Linked DNA regions of Schizosaccharomyces pombe. The gene in region 1 interacts genetically with each later gene. Each region holds a gene or a part of one and is shown in the gene's direction. Other genes may lie near its edges.

What was found. A genetic interaction does not mean that the proteins touch.
Region 2: mutations in myp2 (region 1) and rng9 impair growth when combined (synthetic growth defect), as found in Schizosaccharomyces pombe (2 studies listed by BioGRID, with this or other methods).
Region 3: mutations in myp2 (region 1) and cdc11 are lethal when combined (synthetic lethality), as found in Schizosaccharomyces pombe (2 studies listed by BioGRID, with this or other methods).

Annotation. Positions count from the first base shown.
Region 1 is NC_003424.3:2,546,877-2,557,604, reverse strand, and holds myp2 (Myo3-like myosin II heavy chain myp2), read left to right. Parts: upstream 1-3,901; 5' UTR 3,902-3,939; coding exon 3,940-10,254; 3' UTR 10,255-10,345; downstream 10,346-10,728. Other genes in the region: lcb4 (sphinganine kinase), read left to right, coding at 1-832; SPOM_SPAC4A8.06C (esterase/lipase), read left to right, coding at 1,856-3,592. UniProt on the Schizosaccharomyces pombe protein: Stabilizes the F-actin cables forming the F-actin ring that surrounds the nucleus during interphase. May work in conjunction with myo2.
Region 2 is NC_003423.3:3,632,460-3,638,411, forward strand, and holds rng9 (protein Rng9), read left to right. Parts: upstream 1-2,874; 5' UTR 2,875-2,985; coding exon 2,986-3,771; 3' UTR 3,772-3,896; downstream 3,897-5,952. Other genes in the region: Rnase P/MRP subunit Pop7, read right to left, coding at 1,641-1,700, 1,770-1,905, 1,954-2,066; rpl402 (60S ribosomal protein uL4), read right to left, coding at 4,096-5,187.
Region 3 is NC_003421.2:2,047,074-2,055,662, reverse strand, and holds cdc11 (SIN component scaffold protein cdc11), read left to right. Parts: upstream 1-3,059; 5' UTR 3,060-3,110; coding exon 3,111-6,248; 3' UTR 6,249-6,533; downstream 6,534-8,589. Other genes in the region: serine/threonine protein phosphatase PP6 catalytic subunit Ppe1, read right to left, coding at 1,128-2,045; protein mug33, read right to left, coding at 6,717-7,727; cox13 (cytochrome c oxidase subunit VIa), read left to right, coding at 8,328-8,490, 8,539-8,563. UniProt on the Schizosaccharomyces pombe protein: Essential for the onset of septum formation. Involved in the organization of astral microtubules during mitosis. Acts as a bridge between sid4 and the other SIN proteins mediating their association with the spindle pole body (SPB).

The DNA of each region.
Region 1 (10,728 bases):
GGGTGAGAGAGACGATTACTTGGAAGCATTCAAACTTCCCGTTTGTATGATACCTGGTGGATCTGGTAATGCATTTAGTTATAATGCGACAGGACAACTTAAACCAGCATTAACCGCTTTGGAAATTCTTAAAGGAAGACCTACTTCTTTCGATTTAATGACCTTTGAACAAAAAGGAAAGAAGGCTTACTCTTTTTTGACAGCCAATTATGGTATCATCGCTGACTGCGATATTGGTACTGAGAATTGGAGATTTATGGGTGAAAATCGTGCATATCTTGGGTTCTTTTTGCGTCTTTTTCAAAAACCGGATTGGAAATGTAGCATTGAAATGGACGTTGTGTCTTCTGATCGTACAGAAATTAAACACATGTATGAGAAAAGTAAAAACTTAGCACCGATGTCTGAATCAAGCGATAGCGATAAAACGGTTTCGACGAGTCCTGAATCACATTTATTGACCTTTGAAATCAATGATCTTTCAATCTTTTGTGCTGGGTTACTTCCGTATATCGCACCTGATGCAAAAATGTTCCCTGCAGCTAGCAACGATGACGGCTTAATCGATGTTGTAATTGTTTATTCTAAACAATTTCGTAAATCTTTATTGAGTATGTTTACTCAACTCGATAATGGAGGTTTTTATTACTCTAAGCATTTAAACTATTACAAAGTTCGTTCTTTTCGATTTACTCCTGTTAATACGGGAAAGCGTCATTATTTTGCTTTAGATGGTGAAAGTTACCCATTGGAACCATTTGAATGTCGCGTGGCTCCAAAATTAGGAACTACTTTATCTCCTGTTGCAGGGTTTCAATTGTTGGATATATAAGCAACAGCGAGTGGTTTTTTTTTTTTTTTCAATTTGTCCAACTTATTGGGGTTTTCATTAATTAATTAGTTTTCTGTAATTAAGCCACGCTTAGGCTCTATAATTTTAGACTTGTTTTAATTTCGTTTAATTGTATTTAATAAACAGCGAACTAAGAGTTCTTTTCCTCCGAATTTATATACGACATTTAGAAAGATTCCGAACAAAAGCAAGAGCATTAAGTATTCTTTTTCTTTGTACTTTCGCCCATCCTAATTTGCAAATTAGGAAATTACAAAACGTTATCGTAGACTGAAGAAGTACACTTCTATTCCTGTTCGTTAGCACGTTTAGTGGTGTTGCGATGCACTGGATTTATCACTAATCATTTTGTACTTCAGGTTTTAATTGTTCAATAGTCGAATTAGAGGTAGTCAATTATACGTTATCAGAATTTGTTTATTAAACATTTATGTCTTCATTACATTGCTTATACGACGGATAATAAAACAGGCTTAAAAACTCCTATTCATATGATGATACTCATAATATTATGAAGTGCATTAGAAGAAGTTACTCGTGTCCAGCGCCAGTTTATTGTGTTTCAAATTTATACCTCGTATAATGCGTTTTGTTCTGGTGGGCATAGATAATCTGCATATATAGATATTAAAATATGATGAATACTTACCAGTCAAACTATTGGAAACAAAAAAAATAAGTAAATTTAACTTACAGCTAAATAATGTAAACATACCCATCTTAGTTGTAAAGCTCGTCAAAAACAATTTAGTGAGTTTTACTGAAGGCCGAAGCATTTTTTGCATAGTATAAAACTAACAATCGCGAGAGCATTACTCTGTAGTAAGGCCAAGAGTTGCAGCATTTATGAATTAATATAAATACAACGTCTCTTTTAAATGTTATGCTTCTCTTTGGCAGCATTTTTTGTTCTTTTTAATACTTTTGTATCATTATCCTTCTAATAGAGTTAAAAAATAAATCTATGCGATTTTTTGCTAAAAAACCGTTATTTTTTAGACAATGCTGAAAAAGGAGCAGTTAACTGTCGAATCAATTAATGATGGAATATCTAAAACGTTTAGTCAAGCATTCCGTTTCCTGGCTCATCATGAGTTACGCAAGAATAGAACTTTCATGCTTGATTTGGGAGTGTCGATTTTAAAAAAATTTTTAATTGATAGCAGGGATTATAAAGTAGAAGTTGTTCAAGATTTTTGCTCAAGGAGCTTAACGGATGAGTTTAAGTTTAAATTTACATCACAACCTATAGATTCAAAGTCAGAATCAGATTCTGCTTCTTACATTCGAAACTATTTGGGACCAGAAGGCATTAAACAATTTGGGGGCTCAAACTGGTGGCTTTATCGAAAGTCACCTTTAAAATCCTGGTGGATTGAAAGGCGACATCATATAAGGCACAATCTCAAATGTGATAAAGTTATTTTTTATGTTCATGGAGGTGCTCATTATTTAAGTACTGTTCGTACTAATGCTTATCATATTCAGCGTCATACTGCAGCTCTGGGTGCTAGAACCTTTGCTCCAGATCTGCGGTTAGCACCGCAATTTCCCTTTCCTTGCTCTTTGCATGATGTACTTTCATCTTATTTGTATCTACTTAAAAGCACCAAGCCAGAAAATATAATATTTATGGGCGATAGCTCAGGTGCTGGTTTAATCGTTGCATCACTAGTTTTGATTAGAGATTCAAAATTACCCTTACCTGCTGGAGTAGTTTATGATTCCCCTTGGGTTGATTTGACTCATAGTCTTCCTTCTGTAGTTGCAGATGATGCTGCTGACTATATTCCAAGCGAAGGATTTCATCACCGAGCCAGCAGATATTGGCCCATTACTAACTTAGATTCTTTCTCAACGATATCCGAAAAGGAATTACTAAATTATTCCAAGAAACAAGAATTGACTAACTTTATTGAAAACAGCATACGTAAAAAAATTCAGACCATCAAAAATTTGATCCCCGTGTTGCAAGAGATGGATAAAGAACATGCACGTATTGATTTTGACAATGTGGACTCTCGTTTAGACCCTAACATTTTGACTACATTTCCTTTTCAAGTACAGTTTTATACCTCTAATGCAAATTTAAAGCATCCTCTGATCAGTCCTATCTTCACTGAAAACCTTGGTGGTTTACCGCCGTCACTTGTTCTGGGTGGATCGGGCGAACGCTTACGAGACGAAATAGTGTACATCGCTCACAAAATGAATACAGACGTATACAATGGTAAGCGTACAAAGGTTCGTTTGGAAATGTACGATGATTGTTGTCATGTCGTTACAGCTCTTCCTTTTGTAAAAGAAGCTGGGATTATGGTCCGACGTGCTGCTAATTTTGCTTATTGGTGTTTAAAGCAGCATGATTCGTCTTTTGTATCGCCTAATAAACACCTTGATGGTAATCCGTCTCATGCTAATGAAGATATGGTTCGTTTAAGAATTTCGCGAAATGGTGAGGAACGATTGATGGAGCCTAAAGATGAAATTCAATGTTTAAATTTACCGAAAAGTGCTTTAGGTACTATACAGGTGAAAGCACTCATTCGCTGGATTGACGTTGAATTAATCTTGCTCAGTAAAGACACTAAAAAGCCAGCACGGTACTTCGCTGAATTTAAACACGCCGATTTAAATGGGTATTTAGTCAAGCCCAAAGAGTATACGATGGAAGGGGAAAATCCTCCACTTTCTGCCTTGGTAGCTAACTGTAAAATTAGCCCCGAAAAAAAACAATAATTGCCTGAGACTTGTTTTCATTCTTTTATTTTATCTCTTCTCGATTTCCTTTTTCGTTGAAGTTGAGTTCTTTAGTTATTCACTTTACTTCAACTTATTTATTTTATCAGAAGATTACTAAGGGATATCCACATACGTGCCTAATATCCTGGCAAAAGACGACTGGCTTACTACATTTTAACAGGTATAATTTATTGTTTAACCATTTATAAGTATTCTCTTACATAGTATTGTAAACAATCCATTTGTATTTCGTTGCCATAGTAACATTCATAAATATTTACATTGCTGCGCAGTCATGATTTATACAGCTGCAGCATTGCCAATGTGTTATACTTCTTAATTTAATGTCGTATCTTTCAAAAAATGGCTCTAACGACAACAATAATATTATCAAAAAGCTAGTAGATGCTGAAAAACATTGCAATGCCGTGAAAGACGCGTCTTTTGATGAACGGACATGGATCTGGATTCCTGATTCGAAGGAATCATTCGTGAAAGCTTGGATAGTTGAAGATTTAGGAGAAAAATATAGGGTGAAATTAGAAAGAGATGGCTCGGAAAGAATTGTGGATGGATTTGATGCTGAAAAAGTAAATCCACCGAAGTTTGATATGGTTGATGACATGGCTGCGTTGACATGTCTCAACGAACCATCAGTAGTTAACAACCTTACTCAGCGTTATGAGAAAGATTTAATATATACCTATTCAGGCTTGTTTCTCGTTGCTGTAAACCCCTATTGTCATTTACCAATTTATGGCGATGATGTTGTGCGAAAATACCAATCTAAACAGTTTAAAGAAACTAAACCCCATATTTTTGGAACAGCTGATGCCGCATATCGAAGTTTATTAGAAAGGAGGATCAATCAATCTATTTTAGTTACTGGTGAATCAGGAGCTGGAAAAACTGAAACTACTAAAAAGGTTATTCAGTACCTAACATCGGTCACTGATGCTTCCACAAGCGATTCTCAACAGTTGGAGAAGAAAATCCTTGAAACGAATCCTGTGTTGGAGGCTTTTGGGAATGCTCAGACTGTCCGGAATAACAACTCATCCCGCTTTGGCAAGTTCATACGAATTGAATTTTCTAATAATGGAAGCATCGTTGGAGCGAATTTAGACTGGTACCTTTTGGAAAAATCTCGCGTTATACATCCTTCCTCCAATGAACGCAATTATCACGTCTTTTATCAACTACTTCGAGGTGCTGATGGATCATTGCTTGAAAGTCTTTTCCTTGATCGATATGTTGACCATTACTCATATTTAAAAAATGGTCTCAAGCATATTAATGGAGTCGATGATGGCAAAGAATTTCAAAAATTATGCTTTGGTCTCAGAACTTTGGGGTTTGATAATAACGAAATTCACAGTTTGTTCTTAATTATAGCTTCAATTCTTCATATAGGAAATATTGAAGTAGCATCTGATCGTTCGGGGCAAGCTAGATTTCCTTCCTTAACGCAAATTGATCAATTATGCCATTTACTCGAAATCCCTGTTGATGGATTTGTTAATGCAGCTTTACACCCAAAGTCCAAAGCTGGACGAGAATGGATTGTGACGGCAAGAACACGTGAACAAGTAGTCCATACACTACAATCCTTAGCCAAAGGCCTTTATGAGCGTAATTTTGCGCATTTAGTGAAACGTCTGAATCAGACTATGTATTATTCTCAGTCTGAACATGATGGGTTCATTGGGGTTTTAGATATTGCTGGGTTTGAAATTTTCACTTTTAATAGTTTTGAGCAACTCTGTATTAATTTTACAAATGAAAAGCTTCAGCAATTCTTTAATCATTACATGTTCGTTCTGGAACAAGAAGAATATACACAAGAACGCATCGAATGGGATTTTATTGACTACGGAAATGATTTGCAGCCCACCATAGATGCTATCGAAAAATCTGAGCCCATTGGTATTTTTTCTTGCCTCGACGAGGATTGTGTTATGCCAATGGCTACTGATGCTACATTCACAGAAAAACTTCACCTTCTTTTTAAGGGTAAATCCGATATATACCGTCCTAAAAAGTTTTCTAGTGAAGGCTTTGTTTTAAAACATTATGCTGGTGATGTCGAATATGATACCAAAGATTGGCTGGAGAAAAACAAAGATCCTCTAAATGCATGTCTTGCCGCACTAATGTTCAAATCTACTAACAGTCATGTGTCTTCTCTTTTTGATGATTATTCGTCAAATGCTAGTGGTCGAGATAACATTGAAAAGAAAGGAATCTTTCGTACTGTGTCGCAGCGTCATAGGAGACAGCTTTCTAGTCTTATGCACCAACTCGAAGCAACTCAGCCTCACTTTGTCAGATGCATTATTCCAAACAATTTGAAGCAGCCTCACAATTTGGATAAATCTCTCGTTCTTCATCAACTTCGATGCAACGGTGTACTGGAGGGTATTAGAATTGCTCAAACTGGATTTCCAAACAAACTATTTTATACAGAATTTAGAGCTCGTTATGGGATTCTTTCGCAGTCATTAAAGAGAGGATATGTCGAAGCAAAAAAGGCAACAATAACGATCATCAATGAATTAAAATTACCTAGTACCGTATACCGTTTGGGTGAAACAAAGGTATTTTTTAAAGCCAGTGTCTTGGGTTCTTTAGAGGATCGCAGAAACGCTTTACTGCGGGTGATATTTAATTCATTTTCAGCTCGCATTCGTGGGTTTTTGACAAGACGGAGACTTTACCGGTTTAATCATAGGCAAGATGCAGCTATCCTTCTACAGCATAACTTGAGGCAGTTGAAGTTATTGAAGCCACATCCTTGGTGGAATCTTTTTCTGCATCTTAAACCGTTATTGGGAACAACCCAGACTGATGAGTATTTAAGAAGAAAAGACGCACTCATAAATAATTTACAGAATCAATTGGAAAGTACCAAGGAAGTTGCAAACGAATTAACTATTACCAAAGAACGAGTCTTACAATTGACTAACGATTTGCAAGAGGAACAAGCTCTGGCACATGAAAAGGACATTTTGGTAGAAAGAGCCAATAGCCGGGTTGAAGTTGTTCATGAGAGACTGTCAAGTTTGGAAAATCAAGTAACTATTGCTGATGAAAAATATGAGTTTTTGTATGCAGAGAAGCAAAGCATAGAGGAGGACCTTGCCAACAAACAGACAGAAATTTCTTATCTTTCCGATTTATCATCTACATTGGAGAAAAAGCTGTCTTCAATTAAGAAGGACGAGCAAACGATTTCTTCTAAATATAAAGAGCTTGAGAAAGACTATCTGAATATCATGGCGGATTATCAACATAGTTCGCAGCATTTATCAAATCTTGAAAAGGCTATTAACGAAAAGAATTTAAATATTCGCGAATTGAATGAGAAACTCATGAGACTTGATGATGAGTTACTATTAAAGCAACGAAGTTATGATACAAAGGTTCAAGAATTAAGGGAAGAAAACGCAAGCTTAAAAGACCAATGTCGTACTTACGAATCTCAATTAGCAAGTCTTGTTTCCAAATACTCAGAAACAGAAAGTGAATTGAATAAGAAGGAAGCCGAGTTAGTTATCTTTCAGAAGGAAATCACGGAATACAGAGATCAACTTCATAAAGCTTTTCAAAATCCTGAGAAAACTCATAACATTAATGATGTAAAAAGTGGCCCCTTAAACAGTGATGAGAATATTTATTCTACTTCTTCGACCACGCTTTCAATTTTGAAGGATGTTCAAGAGCTTAAATCATTACATACGAAAGAAGCAAACCAGTTATCTGAACGGATTAAAGAGATAAGTGAGATGCTTGAGCAAAGTATAGCGACTGAAGAAAAGCTTCGTAGAAAAAATTCTGAACTATGTGATATAATTGAGGCCTTAAAATACCAAATTCAGGATCAGGAAACTGAAATTATCTCTTTAAATGCTGATAATCTGGATTTGAAAGATACAAATGGTGTTTTGGAGAAGAATGCTAGTGATTTCATAGACTTCCAAGGTATAAAAAGCCGTTATGAACATAAAATTTCAGATTTACTGAATCAGCTTCAGAAGGAAAGGTGTAAAGTTGGGCTATTAAAACAAAAAACAGAAAATCGGTCAGTTACACAACACACTTTAGATGGAAATTCTCCACATCCATCATTTGAAGAGAAACATTCAGGTGATCCTCTAAAACGCATTGATGGTAATAACGATGATCGAAAAATTGACAATAAATTATTGAAAACAATTAGTAAAAGCCTTGATGCTTTGCAACTAACCGTTGAAGAAGAACTTAGCAATCTGTATTCCCTCTCTAAGGATTTATCTTTTACTGACATTTCGGGACACATACCAAACTCTATTAGGAAGCTTGAAAAAGGGTTGAGTACTTTATCAGAATTAAAGGAACGTCTCAATGCATCAAATTCTGACAGACCTTCCCCGGACATTTTTAAAGATACTCAAGCTATCATGAATTCTCGGAAGCTATTAAGCAATCCTAATTCTGATGCTCAAAGTGGTTTAATATCATCATTGCAGAAAAAGCTTTATAATCCTGAATCTAATATGGAATTTACTGGGCTGAAACCTTTGTCTCCAAGCAAAATCAGCAATTTACCCTCTTCTCAACCCGGCTCACCTTCAAAGAGATCTGGCAAAATGGAAGCACTGATTAGAAATTTTGATCAAAATAGTAGTATTCCTGATCCCTTTATCGTTAATCAACGGAATTCCGTGCTTCAAACAGAGTTTGAAAAAATCAATTTGAAGTTAAAGGAAGCTACAAAGTCTGGAATCTTAGATAACAAAGATCTATCAAAATTTTCGGAACTTATACAATCTTTGTTAAAAGAAAATGAGGAACTTAAAAACTTAACTACTAGTAATTTAGGCAGTGATGATAAAATGCTTGATTTTGCTCCATTACTTGAAGATGTTCCAAATAATACTAGAAACCAAATCAAAGGTTTTGTGGAAAAGGCAATATCATCGAAGCGAGCTATTGCAAAGTTATATTCGGCAAGCGAAGAAAAGCTGTTTTCAACGGAAAAAGCTTTAAGAGAGATAACCAAGGAAAGAGATCGTTTGCTTCATGGGTTGCAAGGACCTTCTGTTCCTACATCTCCTTTAAAGGCTCCCACTGCTTCTCAATTAATAATTCCCAATTTTGATGGTAGTATAACTAATTATTCTGGAGAAGAAGAAACCGAGTGGTTGCAAGAAGAAGTTAATATAATGAAGATAAAGGAGCTTACTTCTACAGTTAACAAGTACCGCGAACAGCTTGCGATGGTCCAGTCACTCAATGAGCATGCAGAATCTTCACTTTCTAAAGCTGAAAGGTCTAAAAATTATCTTACCGGGCGTTTACAGGAAGTTGAAGAACTCGCTCGCGGATTTCAAACAACAAATGCTGATCTGCAAAACGAACTGGCAGATGCTGTCGTGAAACAAAAGGAGTATGAAGTTCTTTACGTTGAAAAGAGCAACGATTATAATACTTTGCTGCTGCAAAAAGAAAAACTGATGAAACAAATTGATGAGTTTCATGTCATTCGTGTTCAAGATCTCGAGGAACGAGAAAAGAAGGATCAACTACTCTTTCAACGTTATCAAAAGGAGCTAAATGGTTTCAAAGTACAGTTGGAAGAAGAACGTGAGAAGAACTTGCGCATTAGACAAGATAATCGGCACATGCATGCGGAAATTGGTGATATCCGTACCAAATTTGACGAATTAGTTTTGGAAAAGACAAATTTGTTAAAAGAAAATTCAATACTTCAAGCAGACTTACAATCTCTTTCTCGTGTCAATAATTCTTCCTCAACAGCGCAACAAAATGCCCAAAGCCAACTTCTTTCTTTGACTGCACAACTCCAAGAAGTACGAGAAGCAAACCAGACATTAAGAAAAGATCAAGATACCCTTTTAAGAGAAAATCGAAACCTTGAGCGAAAACTTCACGAAGTTTCAGAGCAATTGAACAAAAAATTCGATAGTTCTGCAAGACCTTTTGATGAAATTGAAATGGAGAAAGAGGTATTAACACTCAAGAGTAACCTTGCTCAAAAAGATGACTTACTATCATCATTAGTTGAACGCATAAAACAGATCGAAATGTTTGCGCTAAAAACTCAAAAAGATAGTAATAATCATCGAGAAGAAAATCTTCAACTGCATCGTCAACTCGGAGTTTTACAAAAGGAGAAAAAGGATTTGGAGCTCAAATTGTTTGATTTAGATCTTAAAACTTATCCCATATCAACATCAAAGGACGTCCGAATGCTACAAAAGCAAATATCAGATTTGGAAGCATCGTTTGCTGCTTCCGACATCGAACGAATTAAAGGAATTGATGAATGTCGCAATCGCGATAGGACTATCCGTCAACTGGAAGCTCAAATATCAAAATTTGATGATGATAAAAAGAGAATACAGAGCTCAGTTTCTCGTTTGGAGGAAAGAAATGCGCAACTGAGAAATCAATTAGAAGATGTGCAAGCTTCAGAAACACAATGGAAATTTGCACTACGTCGGACGGAACATGCTCTTCAAGAAGAGCGTGAACGCGTCAAAAGTTTGGAAACCGATTTTGATAAATATAGATCTTTGCTGGAGGGTCAAAGAGTAAAGAGAAGTGAAAGTAGATTATCCATGAGGTCCAATCGTTCGCCTAGCGTTCTAAGGTAGCCAAGCTTCCCAAAGACTCGACATGTATTTTTTAAGATGATGTAAATTATTAGTTCATGAATTTAAAATTATTTTATTATTACTATTATTATGCTCTGCGTCAACGTAACAAGTAACCACAAGGATACTTTAGTTCAAAAAAAAAAGTAAGTCGGTCAAGTAAAAGGCATTTTAGTTCGGTTTACTTTTTATTTTACCCCTATTATTTGTACAATGGTTATATGCAGCAATCACATTGTAAAAGAAAACTATGAAGAGATAGGCGGCGATATTAAATGTAGAAGAGCTCTTGCATAACAGCGGCACAAATATAAATACAAATACAAATAAAAGAAGAGGACATTTACAATTACACTTTAACATTGTAAGTTGGAAGAACATCACAAAAAAATTTCATTCAAGTATAAAAATTCTAAACGTGATTCAGTGGCTTGCATTATAAAATATTTATTGTCATAACAATCATTATAAACT
Region 2 (5,952 bases), on another chromosome or scaffold:
AAATTTGTGGTTCGACATTGAGTACGGATGACCCTGTATGAAATAACAGTCTCCTGAATCGCTTATGATGATCCTTATCGTGTTGTTCGACCTTTCCAATTCCGGGGTTGTTACCTTATGTCCACCTATTAGTATGATTTGCGCCAGTTCATATGATGGAATTTGCATTGGAGACAGGTTGAACGATTTTTCAGGTTATTTTGCGGACTGCTTAATAAATGGACTTTTTAAGACATGCACTCATAAAATCCTTCTAAATTCTGATTCCGTAGGTATTTGAATGATGGAATGAATGGCTTCCATGATAGCGTTGAACTTTACATGTGGTGAGTTTGATGGGCAAGAGAAATCATTTTCTACGTGTTCGTTACCTATGTGGAAATCATCAGCAAAGATTTTTTAGACCTTAGGTTATAATACCTCGGTTATTTTAGCAATTTGCACCCGATGTTTAGACCCGAAAAGGCCATCAATCAAAGGACAGTTTTCCTGCAAAAAATGACAACCATAATCCATCAGACATGTTGATTCTCCTGGAATCTTCTAAAAATAACTAATATAACATTTAATGCTAGGATTCTATATCATGTTGGCGAGGTATGGCGTCTGAAAAGAGCTGTGATATATTTACTCATTCTTTTTGAACAATATTTGTCGACGGGACTAACATTAATCCAGGCCTTTGCTGGATTTCTCCACTTTCAAATTTTCTCTTGCCTATTGTGCATTCTTCTACGTTTGAAATTTTCACTTACTCATTTGAACCTTGGTGATGAAATGATGCAACCTTTCACTACTTAGTCAGATTACCCTGGCAAACTAAAGGTATACCTGTTCTGTGTTTGGGATTTATGAGAATATTTCTTTATGTGATAGATCTACGGCGATTCGCATTTCGTTCGTTGACCTCCCCATCCACTGAATCAATTGTCTCGACCTTTGTCGCAAAAAAATTTGTAACGAAATGATGCGTTTTCACGTTGAAAGCTCGTACACACTTTTCTCTACTGTGTCAAATTAGCTGCTACCATTTGTTTGATTCATAAAATTTGCTAAATTCATTATTTTTATGTTGCATAATTTATTGCCGTTGCTGTCTGTTCAGTCCTCTAATTTTTGTTTTGTTTTTTTTGCAAAAAATTTGACGCTATCCAGCTTTAATACCTAGCTACGTAACATTCAAATTTTTTTCTGAGTTTGTAAATTAACATCTACATTTGCATTCATCAAAAAACTAGAATAACTATCAACGTCCTCCGTTGAAATGACTTTGATCTAGTGGATGCTAAACAACTTTTCTATTGAGAACTTTCTCACAAGGGAGCAAATGATATTTGAAATACTATAAGTGTTATTTCTGTCGCTCGTCATAACTTCGGTTTGGTTTAACCACAAATTAGATTTATACCAATTGCAAATGTAACACGAACCTTTGTGACTGTTCTCCTTACTGATTATAGGATAAGTAATTGAAACCTTGTTGTAGAGTATATACACATCGTGTTATTTTTTAGTACAGGTATTGTTGCAAATAAACAAGGACAGTCAAACAATTATCAAAAAAATTTGAAAATACAAAAGTTGTACAGTGAAATAGCCATCAGTAATAGAGTATGTAAAGCCTTAGGAACACAGTTATTCTAACGAGATACTCGGAGAAGTAATACGTTTCCCAAACGGTTTTTGTTCTGAATAGATACCTACAGCTATGTTAGTAACAATACATTCATGTAAATTCTTTTTTGCTCGCAATGTTAAAATCCGCATACTTCATCAACAATCTCATCCATAAATTCGACTGTAGCTGTATCCATAGAGATATTATATCCTTGGCGTTTATACTTATCGCTTAACTCAACCAAATGAGGTATTGCCATGCCGGTAGCTTGGTATAATATAGATCCACTAAGCCTGTTGTTAGCATATGACTCGCAAGAAGTTCATTTTACGTACTCAATATCAAGCTTCTTTCTCATGCGTCGAATCATAGCAATCAGGTGTGTTTTTCTTCGAATAATTATACCTTTGCGAAAAGCAGGCGCACGTTTAATTCTTTCTACCGACATTTCAACATAAGGAGAACGAATATTTAATTAAACATTAATACAATATAGCTTCTTGAGGTGAAGACGTATCCGTAGTGTAGCTTTTTTTCAACTAGCTTTCTCGTAGTTAAGTGATATATCGCAATCAAATTTTCTTTGGCTTAAGTACCCTAACTGAATTTATAGTAAAGTTAGGAAATTTATTGATAAATCTGAAAAATAAAATGTAATAAAAAAGTAAAATGCAATTAATTGGTCTTCTCAGAAGTACATTTCTTCTTCCTTTTTCTTTTTTTTTTTTTTTTTTTAATTTATTTCTTTTTAAAAAAGAAATAAATTTTAAAAGTAATAAATCGGTAATTAGGTAAATTTGGCTTTAAATTTAATAAATTTGTTACAGTGATTTTCATGATAAAAGCTAAATTAAAAATTATATTCTATTCAGTTTTCTTTATCAGCGTCAGAATGTTAACGCATTTGGGTTTATAATTATGAATATTGTTTACTCTGTAAGAAGGTTAAAAACAATTTTGATTTAAACCAAGAATAATAGTAAAGATTACACGTATAGCAGGATTCAATAATTTTAAATTTAATTGTAATTTAAGAAAATGTATCAATAATTAAATTCGCAAAAATTTCATTTTCACTTATCTTACTTAAAAGTTGCCAACTTTTATACGATTTAGTTCACCTTTCACATTGGAATATGCCTAGTAGTATTAATAAAATCAAATAAAAATCCACTTCGACAACTATTAAAAACTGTTACGAAAATACACTGAAACATCTATGGCATCTTGAAGGGTAGAATATCGTTTTCCCTTCTGCATACAACTGCTATAATTTACATTTCAATCCTTTTCCCCTCTATTGTAATTTTAGTAGAAAACCATCAGCTCTTAGAACTCTATATAAAAAAACTGAAAATACTTGAGTAATGAACGACGAGGAAAGTCATATATCCGTATTGCCTGTCATGAACAAACAAACCAGCTTGGTACTTCAAAATCTTAAGGAAGAAACTGAAAATCAGTTAAAAGAGCTAGAAAAAAAAAGGTCTCAACTGCATAAAGAGGAGCAAATCAACTTGCAGTTAGTATATGCTATAAACGACTTGCGTTCAAAGACTAAGGAGCTGAAGGCAGAAAATGAAAAAGAAGACACCTTTTTAAATTCATTTAATGCGTCGGGTGACTTAACTGCCAATAAAAAAATACAGCTGCGGGAACAAAGTAGGAAGCTAGAGGAATCGCTGCTTTCATACCATAAAAAGGTGAAAGAAATGGAAAAGCAGCACCGTTCGGCGTCTTCAAAATTAGAGTTAGCAAAGTTGTCAGCTCAGCAATTGCAAACAAATGTTAATGTTTTACGATCGCAAAACAATCCTGAAATATTGCAGGACATGATCTCTGAAACCAAAGACTGTCGTTCTTTGATTGCCGAACAACTTCTTCAAAGTGCTTCTTTGCTCAATGATTTTCAAAATGATTCTGATCGTATTGCAAAGAATCACAGCTCTTTAATTGATACCAGCAGAGCACATCGCGTCTCGTTGACCAATGCAACTAAAAATTATACCCACATATTTGATTCTCTGCTAACATTTACAAGACATGATTCAGAAGATGTATCAACATCCGTTGAAAAATTAACTTCGAAAAAGATCTCTGAATTAGAGAAGCTCTTTGCAGATTATTGTTCGATTGAAGATGCTTTTGATTAATTATGTTACAACTCCATCAGACCTTATCCAGAACGACATTTAACGAATAACAAGTAATAGAAGGAATAACAATTTTAAAAGGTGTTTCAAAAATTACTCATCTCCTATTTACATGTAGATTGTAGAATATCAAACATTCTAGAATAAAAAGAAATTAAGGAACATACCTTACCCATATACTAGTAGTCTAATGAGCTACTACTATGTTACATAAATTGCTACTACAAATCGACAAATATAACAATTTTAAAAAACACTATCTTCAAAACTTATATTACCGCTATCTATCTCCAAACTAATAATAAAGAGAGGTAGGCAACATGCTTAGTTTTCATGAAGGACGGTCAAGAATTTTTCACCAGCTGCCTTGGGGGTCTTTCCAGTGTTTAATTTGACATTGGCCTTGTAAGCCTTAGCATAAGGGTTAAGACGAGCCAAAACAGCCTTGTTCTTAAGAGGGTTCTTCTTTTGGACATGAGCACGCTTGACTCGAGAAGGACCAGCGGCCTTGACAATGCTTTGAATTTCATCAGAGTTGATGAGACGAGTAACATCGGCATTAGAGATGATGTTCTCAGGGAGGAAATAGTTTTTCTTGAGTTGAGCAGCCTCAGTAGTGCTTCCAAAGACACTGTCAAGGAGACCGAAAGCAGACTTGGTCCAGATAACAAAACGACCCAAATGTCCACCAGGAGCAAGTTGAAGTAAGTTCAAACGACGAACGTTGACAATTTCAACACCAGGAATGTTACGGAAAGCCTTAACAATACCAGCATCTTCGTTGAAAACAACAAGAGGACCGCGACGTTGAACATGACGGCGGTTACGAAGCTTACCCTTTCCAGCACGAAGCTTGCGAGAGTTGGCAACCTTGACAACATCGCGGTAAGCCTTAATCTCCTTCAAAAGGGCAACAGCCTCCTTGGTCTTTTGGAAAGATTGGACAGCATCGTCGACAACCAAAGGGACCTCAGGAATCTCCTCAATACGGTGACCACGAGCCAAAAGGAGAGAAGGGACACCAGAGGCAGCAACGGCAGAAGAAATAGCATAACGCTTTTCGTTCTGATTGACCTTAACGTGCCACTTGCGCCAGGTCTTGGTTGGAGCGAACATACGACCGCTACGACACATATTACCAAAAGCAGCTTGACCGGAACGATGGGTACCACCACCACCAACACGAGGAATACGAGCAAGGGCACGACCAGTACCCCAAGACTCGGCGGAAGTTTGATGACCGGCCTTTTCAGAAACAGCGTAAGGTTGACGCTTGTTCTTGGCAACAGCGGTATGAACGGAGCGAACCAAATCAGGTCTGATAGGGGCTTTGAAAACAAAAGGCAAAGCAATAGTCTCAGAAGAGACACTGCCGTCTTTGCTGTAAATACTAACTGTGGGACGAGCTGCTGCCATTGAAGCTGTTAGTATGCTTTTGTGGTTGGAAAAAATCAGTTTAATTCAGAAGTTTCATCAAAAACCAGACGTGACTGCTTTTTATGAAGAAACGAAGTATAACATATTATAGCGTATTATAAAATATTTGCTAGATGTCCGTCTAACTCACTATCTTATAAACACATCTGTGAGTGCACTAAGCTTTCACTGCGAAGATAAATAATACAATCAGGTCTCATCAATAAGAGCTTGATAGGATAACTGATACAATTTACATAGGAAAGAGGAACAATGTTTAGAAGTCATGATATTCGCTGTTTAGTTTCATTAGCAGCCATTTGGTTGACTGATGTGTGTTATAACACAGCAATCGTAGGGCTTCAATAATCGAATTAATTTAGTTTATAAGTTTTGATAACAAGTTTTTTAGCGAATAACGGTAAAACATTGTAGAAATACTCTGAGTCATAATAAATTATCAGTCAAAGCTACTATACTGGCATTTTCGAGCAAACCTTCCTTGATGCTTTAGATAGCCTGTATGTTATAATCTGGAGGTGGGCGGTTAAACATTGTTTAAGTTGTACAGAATTAGTTTATTATAAATATACGTACCTTTGAGTCTTATAAAAAAGCAAATACCATAAACATAACAGAAGAAACATAAATTTAATTTATTAGAATGGATAAATGATGATTAGATTGATTTTACTTGTCACGAATTGTTGAGTAACACACCCTACGTGTTAGCGTGTTATATAAATGCTCTGACCGTTTTTATCC
Region 3 (8,589 bases), on another chromosome or scaffold:
ATGCACTGTATAACACAATTTGGGATAATCAGAGTACATGAAGACAATTAGTCTCTTTCAGGCATCAATTTTCGCACGCTGAATATCCCTCCTCTTCTTCTCGTAGACAAATTTATCAACTTCAAAAACAAACAAACCACTCCTTCTTCTTTTCGTAAATAAGAATGATTTAAAAAAAATACAAATACTACGAAATCCGGTCAAACGAACAAAAAATTGTGCAATGATCGAACAGGTGCTTATTAAAACTGCAAATTATGTTACTGACTGACTTTCCTTAGCAAAGCAAGCGACAATTTGCAAAACATTATTTTACAAAGGTAAGTAGAAAGTAAGAGAAGCGAAGCATGAAACAGAAACGATATATCGGCAGAGATATTATCAAGAAAATTTGTCCAAAGAACTGTACAGATATAATAATGCATACTAAACTTATATATAAGAAATTGATTATCAAAAATCACCCTTGCTTGCTTAATCTTAACTGACAAAACTGAGAAAAATCATGATATACATATCATCGTACTAGATGCCAAGAAACCCCAATTAAAGCAAGCTCGACGCAAACCCGAGAGGAATTATGTATAACGTTCTTGACAAAAGAGTGACAAGGCAAGCACTGCAACATGCGATTATTGGCTTTATGGACGCGTAGTAATGGAAACAAAAATTATGGAGAAGGGATCATTAAGAATTTTTGGGCACTAAGTAACTTTATGTTGCTGGAACAGTGTGGTAACGCAAGTCAATGCTATTGCGAAAAAAAGGTTAAGGGAATATCATCACAATGTGAGGTGAAATAAAATTGCAAACACCAAGTCGCTTTTTTGAAGGGAAACAATCTAAACTATAGCGACTGAAAATAGCTAGGAAAAAAAGATTAAAAAACAAACCCATGTAACTTATAATATCGTTTTGCGTAACAAGCTGCCAAGGAAAAATAGAATATACCTCACGCGCAAAGCAAACGGAAATAAAAATATGGAAGTTGAGAACTGGAAGAGAGAAAGAAAGTGTCGGACAAGGAAGTAAAAAAAGCTACGTTTTAAAAAACAAAAACTATTACATGTTTGAGGGGGTATATGTGTGCCATAAAAAACAAGATATTTGACTTGCACATACCAAAGTTAGATGAAATACTCGCTTCTTTTTCTGCTAGGGGGAACGGTACGATCTTCGTCGGCAACAGCCGAGAAAATACGAAATTCCGGTTCCAAAGATTCATCTACTTTCATAACACTTGCCACATTTCCACATCTATAGCAGTAATTGGGAGCACTCCAAACGGTAACAAGATTTTTATCGGCAAAATGATATTTGTAGCCCTCTTGAACAAGTTGATGAGCACGAGCAATCAATGTCAAGTCGTTGATTTGACTAAATTCGGTAGTAACTTTAGAACCAAACAACCATCCAGCTCCCCGAGGCGAAACAGTCCAAGATTCAATATCCTCTGGATCAGACCACATCAAATCGCAAAATGAGCCTTCATGGGGAATTTCTTGAGCACGCGCAAGAATACGAATCTGATCCAATGTGCGAACTTCCGGAGATAATCCACCATGCACGCATAAAATTTTGTTATCGATAACCGCTGCCAAAGTCAAAAAATCAAAAACTTGGCAACAATATTTCCAAACATTTGCATTTCCATATTTGGTTTGACACTCATCATAAAACCCGTAGACTTGAGTGATCTGGCGACTTTCGTGATTACCACGAAGCAATGTAATTTTATCTGGGTACCTTGCTTTCAAAAGCATAAATAACGTAAAAGTTTCTAAGCTAAAATAACCTCGATCCACAAAATCACCCATAAATATATAATTTGTGCTTGGCAATTCTCCACCTACTCGAAACAGTTCCAAAAGGTCGTAAAACTGACCATGTATATCACCACAAACAGTAACGGGAGTCCGCACAGGCTGGATATTGGACTCCTCCATTAAAATAACTTTTACCATCTCACACAATCGTTTCAACTGGTGTTCTGGAAGATATTTACACTTCCTTACTGTAGCGATCCATTCATCCAAGTCAAACATCGTTGTAGCACAAATTATTCAAGGATCTCTTCTAGATTATTAAACACAGTTATTTCTCAATACTTTCCTATTTAGAAATTGGCTTCCTAATTAAATATGTTGTTTGCGGAGAGTACGTAAGTTAGTACGTTGAATACTTAAGAGGGGTGTTTAACGTATTGTAACGATTAACGGCGTACCAAGTCTTTATCAGATATGGATGTTTGGTACATTCAAAAGTCGTATGAAAAAGTCTACATGTGGAAATGACCTTTTATATACAAATTTATATAGTCCGCTGATTAAATTGGGATGTCGTCGAACACATTTTATCCTTATTGCTAACGTCAAATTTTGTTGCAAATTTTCTTAAATTACCGAGGTGGGATTGCTTTAAATTATAAATACTTGTAGAGTTTTAAACGATTGAAAGTCTAGGTCATGAGGCGAAGATGAGAGAGTAGCATAACGAGAAACGTTGTCTGTAGAACGACAATAAAAGTGTCGTTTCCATAACCTTTAAATATAGTAAGCGAATTTAGGATCAGTTCGAAGATTGTTGCAAGCGTAGATCCAACTTGTGAAAAACTTGCTTACTAAAGAGCTTTCAAAGTCATGAAGAATATATGATATCTTGTTGATATAAATGGCATCTCCGTCGTCAAGTATGCGAAACCGTAGGCAAAAGAAAAATCGTACAGAGAAGGTTACCGAAGCAATTGCTATTAATTGTTTTTTATCGAGTCTTCCGAGTTAACAGAATAAAGTGAATCTCTCATGCACAAGTTTATCAACTCTTAGAACTACTTATAGCTTTGATTTTTTCCTCAAATACTTATGGCCATAATTTTCCTTCTGAATAAATAAATTTACTGGAATTCAACGTAACAAACAAAATAACGCTATACCCTTATTGTGGAAAATATCGTAAAATATGATAAGCAGCATTACGAATACGCTTGAATATCCTATGTCAAATTGTGCAAAAGGGTGATTGAGTCCCAGTACCACGACATCCCGTCGCGTCTCATAGACGTAAACAAAACTTCTTTTTTCTATGGAAGGTATGTGTGCTTTTCAGAAATCATGGAACAGTTATGGCTTGAACATGATTTAAGTGAAGAATGGATTCCGCAGCCACAAGAACAAGGGTCAGACAATTCTAGTGAACCACCAACCACATCAAATGTAAACAATACTCAATCTACAGGTCGTGGTAGTTCAGGAACTTCGACAGAGCATGGAACGTTTAAGAAAGGAAGAAATGATGCTCCGGATGTTCCTCAATGGAAACAGGTGAATGCAAAGAACCCTGTTGCTCGTGATATTTTTGCAAGGTTGGATTTGGAAAATATGTTTGAAGAAAGCAGCAAACAAAGCCCCCCTTCAAAGTCTCCAACAAAAAATCCGTCCAAAAAGTCCAGTAATAACTCTTCTAGGCGTAGTTCTTCTTCAGTTGGTAAACTATCTAATGTATCGAACATGCAATCTTCTCCTTCTAAAGATCCTTTCGTTTCACAGGATTACGAAAAAGAATCTATCTCCTCTTCTCAGTTTAGCAAAAAATACTCAGAAGGAAGCTTGAAAAGTCAACAATCTAATACCAGGTCTAACTCGGTTCACGAAAAGCAAAATACGGACCATGCTAGCAATGCATCGTCATCCTCATCCGTTGTTTCTTCTCCCTCCTTGAAGCCCAATAATACATCCCCCCTTAAACTTTTCCAAGGAGCTAGTGATCCGTTTACTCGTGAGCATTTGAATCAATTAACTCAAGATGTAAAGTCCAATTCATTTGAAAATGGGGAAAAACAATTTTCACTCCCTGAACCACGAAGACCACAAAAACCTATGCGTACAACTGAACGAAAGGCTAGCCTCAATACCAAAGATCTCTATCAAGAGGTTGAAGAAGTCATGGCAAGATTGCGAGGAAGAATGCCTAATTCGGGACGAGAATCTACAATTTTTCTTCCTCGAAAGCTCAGCGGACTTCGTGAGGAGGAGGAACAAGATGAAATTTCAGTTGAAGTAAGTCAAGAAGATAGCTCTAATGCATTTCCCTCCTTAAGTGATCAACTTCATTTAAAAAGTCTTCAAAGTATGAAAAGGGTTACCTCAATTTTCAATGATAATGATGATTCCTTTCCATCCGCATCTTCCTCCCCTCAACGCCAGGCATATATGACCGATAAAATGCCACTTCGGGAAATTGATGTTGGCTCTTCACAATCCTCTTCCAAGACTGCCCGATTAAATAGCTCTCCCAAATCAACGCTAAAAACTTCCAGTGTTAAAACCAGAAGAAGTCACTCTGCTCAAAGCTCAAGAAAAGTGTCTGATTATCCCAATATGGTGGTTATAACGCCAGCAGATCTTCCTGAAGGCATAGATACAACTCAAGGCTCCATGGAATTTGACAGGATACACAATCGGTGGCGGAGAAAAGGTCATGATTCAGACTTGGGCTTTGATTTTGAAACCGACGAAGATGCTAGTCTTTCGCATCCTGAGCGTACAATACTGTTTAAAGCGGCATCCACCAGACATCAAGCGAACAATGATCCAAACAATTTGGAGAAGCAACAACCTCATTCCTTTCCTTTGCGTAAGCAAAATGTTGCTCAATCCGAATTTCCTAAGCATTCATTAAGAGACAATAGCGAAAACGCTCCGCAAATTTTATCTTCCTTTCACGATTTATCCTTACAAAATGAGAGCTTTGATGAAATGTTTAATGGCAGGTATGAAAATGGGTCACCAATTCCTTTTATTTCTTCAGGTTCTGGATTGAAAAGTAAAGCCGACAAAGATGCTGAATATAGTTTTTCAGTATCTCGTCAATCCATAATTCAAATTCTTTCTGATGTTGAACCATATGAGCCTTTCTGGAAAAGGATTATACAATTAGACATCAGTAGACGACATTTGGATTCCTTGATTGGACTTTCTGAACTCTGTCCCTCTATTGAAGAGCTCACGTTGGAAGGAAATGAAATTGCTTACTTAACAGGATGCCCCGTTACGATAAGAGACCTGAATGCTGTTGAAAATCGATTGTCAAGTTTGACTTCATTTTCCAACCTATTAAACCTACAATATCTGGACATATCATATAATCAACTAGAGGACCTTACTGGTCTTTCTTCTCTAATTCACCTTCGTGAGTTGAAAGTTGACAGTAATCATCTATGGAGTTTAGATGGGATTCAACATTTGGATGGATTGCTAAAATTAAGCGCTTGCAATAACAGGATTAAAGAATTGTCATTTACGAATTCCAATCTTCATCGTCTTGAGGAATTGCTCTTGGGAAATAACGAAATAGAAGAAATCGAAGAAATAAGTTCGCTTCAAAACCTTATGGTTTTACAATTGGACAATAACAAACTAACCAACTTGAAAGCTAGCCAACCAATGATTCATTTGCGAATTTTACGCATCAGCAACAACGCCATACATCAACTTGAGGTAGATCAATTTCCTCATTTACGAACTTTATACATGGACCTTAATCGATTTAATCGTCCCCCTGACATCCGTCGACTAAAACGCTTAGTCAATTTTTCGTTCAGGACTCAAGATCCTGAAGCCTCCAATTTTGTCATTCAACCCTCTTTAGATATTCGAAATCTATACCTATCGAATAACACCTTCGTTACTCTTGATTGTAAGCACATGTTTCTGGGAGTGAGGTATCTGGAGCTTGCAAACGTTCAGCTCAAAGAAGTACCTAAATACATTGCGACCAGTATGCCCAATTTACGTGTATTGGACTTATCACATAACTATATATCAGACATAGAGTCGCTGAAACCATTGCAAATGATCCACCGACTTTACTTAGTGGGAAATAGAATCAAAAAGATGCGAAATTTATGTGATATATTGGCAAACCTGAAACAGTTAAACGTACTGGATCTGCGCATGAATCCTCTTAATTTCAACATTTATCCCGTAATTGACGACTCTATTTATGAGCTCTCTGCAGCCTCAAAATACCAACAAAGTATCAACCAAAAAGGTCATCATAGAAAAGAAGACCCGCAAAAGCAATGGCAGGAGAAAGAGCTGGCCTTTAGTTCCACTTTGTCTGAGGCATGGAGAACAAGAAGAAAAATGTATGCTGAAGCTATTTTATTGGCATGTCCACACTTAGAATGGTTGGATGGATCTGATGTTTCACAATCATCTCGCGCTGCATTCACCAAATCATCCAACTAGTATGACTTGTGAAGATATAGCTTGAAACATTTTTACCTTTCAAATAGCAAGATTGTTTCGCTGTTGTGTAAAGGTTAATAATCACAATACATAATACACCATAATACTCGCCATTACCATAGTGTAAATAATAATTCGATTTCTGGATGGCACATACAAAATGAATAAGCATAATGAAACGTGAAGGTCGTCTAAAAATATATATATATTAAAAAAAAAGAAAAAGAACCCTATTGAAAGAATAAAAAATAAAAGAAAACCCCTCCAACTCTTCTTACATTCAACTAGCTTAAAACAGATAAATTCTATTGAGAAACAGTGACATTAAACACACACATATGTACCATATAAGTATCAACTAAATAAAGGAAAAAGGTAAAGGGGGGACGGTTAAAAAATGCTTTGAAAGTGAAATTAGAAAACATGTAGAGATGATAAATGATAGATAAAACTCGATTGGTCGATAATTTACGAGCGGCCCCATGAAAATCTGCTGGGCTTCTTGTCGTTATTGGCTTGAACATCATTAATCGACCATGGATTTGGAGCTGGAGCTGAAGCGGGATCTTTAAAGGGATTTTCAGGATCTCTAAACGGATTTTCAGGAGCCTGTTCTGCAGGCTTATTGCGCATAAACGGAAAGCGGAAGCCCGAGTTAGATTTCGGAACGGGAACGGGCTCACGAACAGTTGGGGCATAGGAAGACAGAGAACGACTATCGTTGCTAAAAGTAGGCTTCAATTTTGAGACAGAGCCTCCACGCTTGAGACCATCATCCTCGGAAATGGTATCGTACATAGGCTTTTCGGCAGAATAATCGCTGAATTTGGGAAGGTCTCCCTTGCGAGAAGAAGTAGAAAAGATATTGCTGCTGTTTTGCAAAGAGTACGGATTGTAACCCAAGCTGCCAGAGGTGGCGCGACGAAGATGCTTGGCCTGTAACCTTGTGGCTTGTCTGCGTGCAACAAGGAGTAAAAGCAAGACGATGAGTTGAATGCCGACATTGGCGAGCACAAGCCATGACGGCCATTGAATATGGGGGACAAAAGTGATGACACAGATAACGAAAGCAATGGCGGTGATAAAAATGTTAAAGAATGTTATGGTTCCAATGACATTGAAGAAGCCGGGAGAGCGGGCAATGGCACCAATGTGGGCGAATATAGTCATAATGGTGGATATGAGACAGATGCAGGCAGACACGGGAACAATCACCAAGCCGTAGGAAGCTCTTTGACGCACAATAACGGAGGTACGAAATCCGTCCTTTGCATGTTCATCAAGGTAATCCGAGTTGTAACCAACTAAAGGCTTGCTGCAATTTGAATTTAAGCAGTAACCGAAAACGCCAAATCTAACGTCTCCATACTTTCCTAAAGTAAGATTGTTTGCAAGAGGAGGAGTACATATAGCTAAGACGAAAAAGACAATGGCGATAACCAGTAAGATAAGGGAAGGAGTAGCACTACGAATCCGCATTTTTTAAAAAAAAGCGGAAAAGCTTTGGAGGGTGATTTGAGAGAGTAGTTTTTGAGCTTTTGCTAGCTACCAACAAAGTTCAACTTTGCACGGTTAGGATTTAAAGATTTCCTTTTTGTTCCTCTACAGCGAGAAACGATCAAAAAAGAGATGAAATCCGAGGGGAAGGCAGAAGTTGAGAAAGGGCAATTTGGTACGTAGCAATGAACGAAAAGGCTCTCAATTCGACTAAAAGTGTTTAAATTACCAATTCCTAATATGGAAAAAAGAAATAATTTGTCCTTGAAGTCGCTTTTATGTATTTGGCGGAAAGGCGATTTTTGGTGGTGAGATATGATGAGGTTTTTGTTGTTGGTTGTGGTTGAGTTAAACGTTGTTTGACTTCATTCCCCCTTTGCGCCACACTTCAGTAGTACGGTACGCTACGCAACTGAACGCTAAACATTGCTAAGGTAAATTTGTACCGAGGTAGAAGAATGCACACGGTGCGTTACTACAGTATATGGGTAGAATTACGAAGGTACGGGAGGAGCAGAATGTTCACAAGCAACAACTCCCATCTCCTTGAAAACATCGTAAAAAAGCGAATTTGTTAGTGTAATGAGCATGATGAATCGTAACATTGGCTTCCTATCCAGAACATTGAAGACGAGCGTTCCTAAGAGAGCGGGTTTGCTCAGCTTTCGAGCTTATAGTAACGAAGCAAAGGTGAACTGGCTTGAAGAGGTTCAAGCAGAAGAGGAGCATGCAAAGCGTAGCAGTGGTATGTGAATTGTGGGAATAGAAATTTATCTTACTAACGGGTTTATAGAATTCTGGAAGAAAGTGACTTATTAGTATGAACATGAGGAAGTGAAGAATT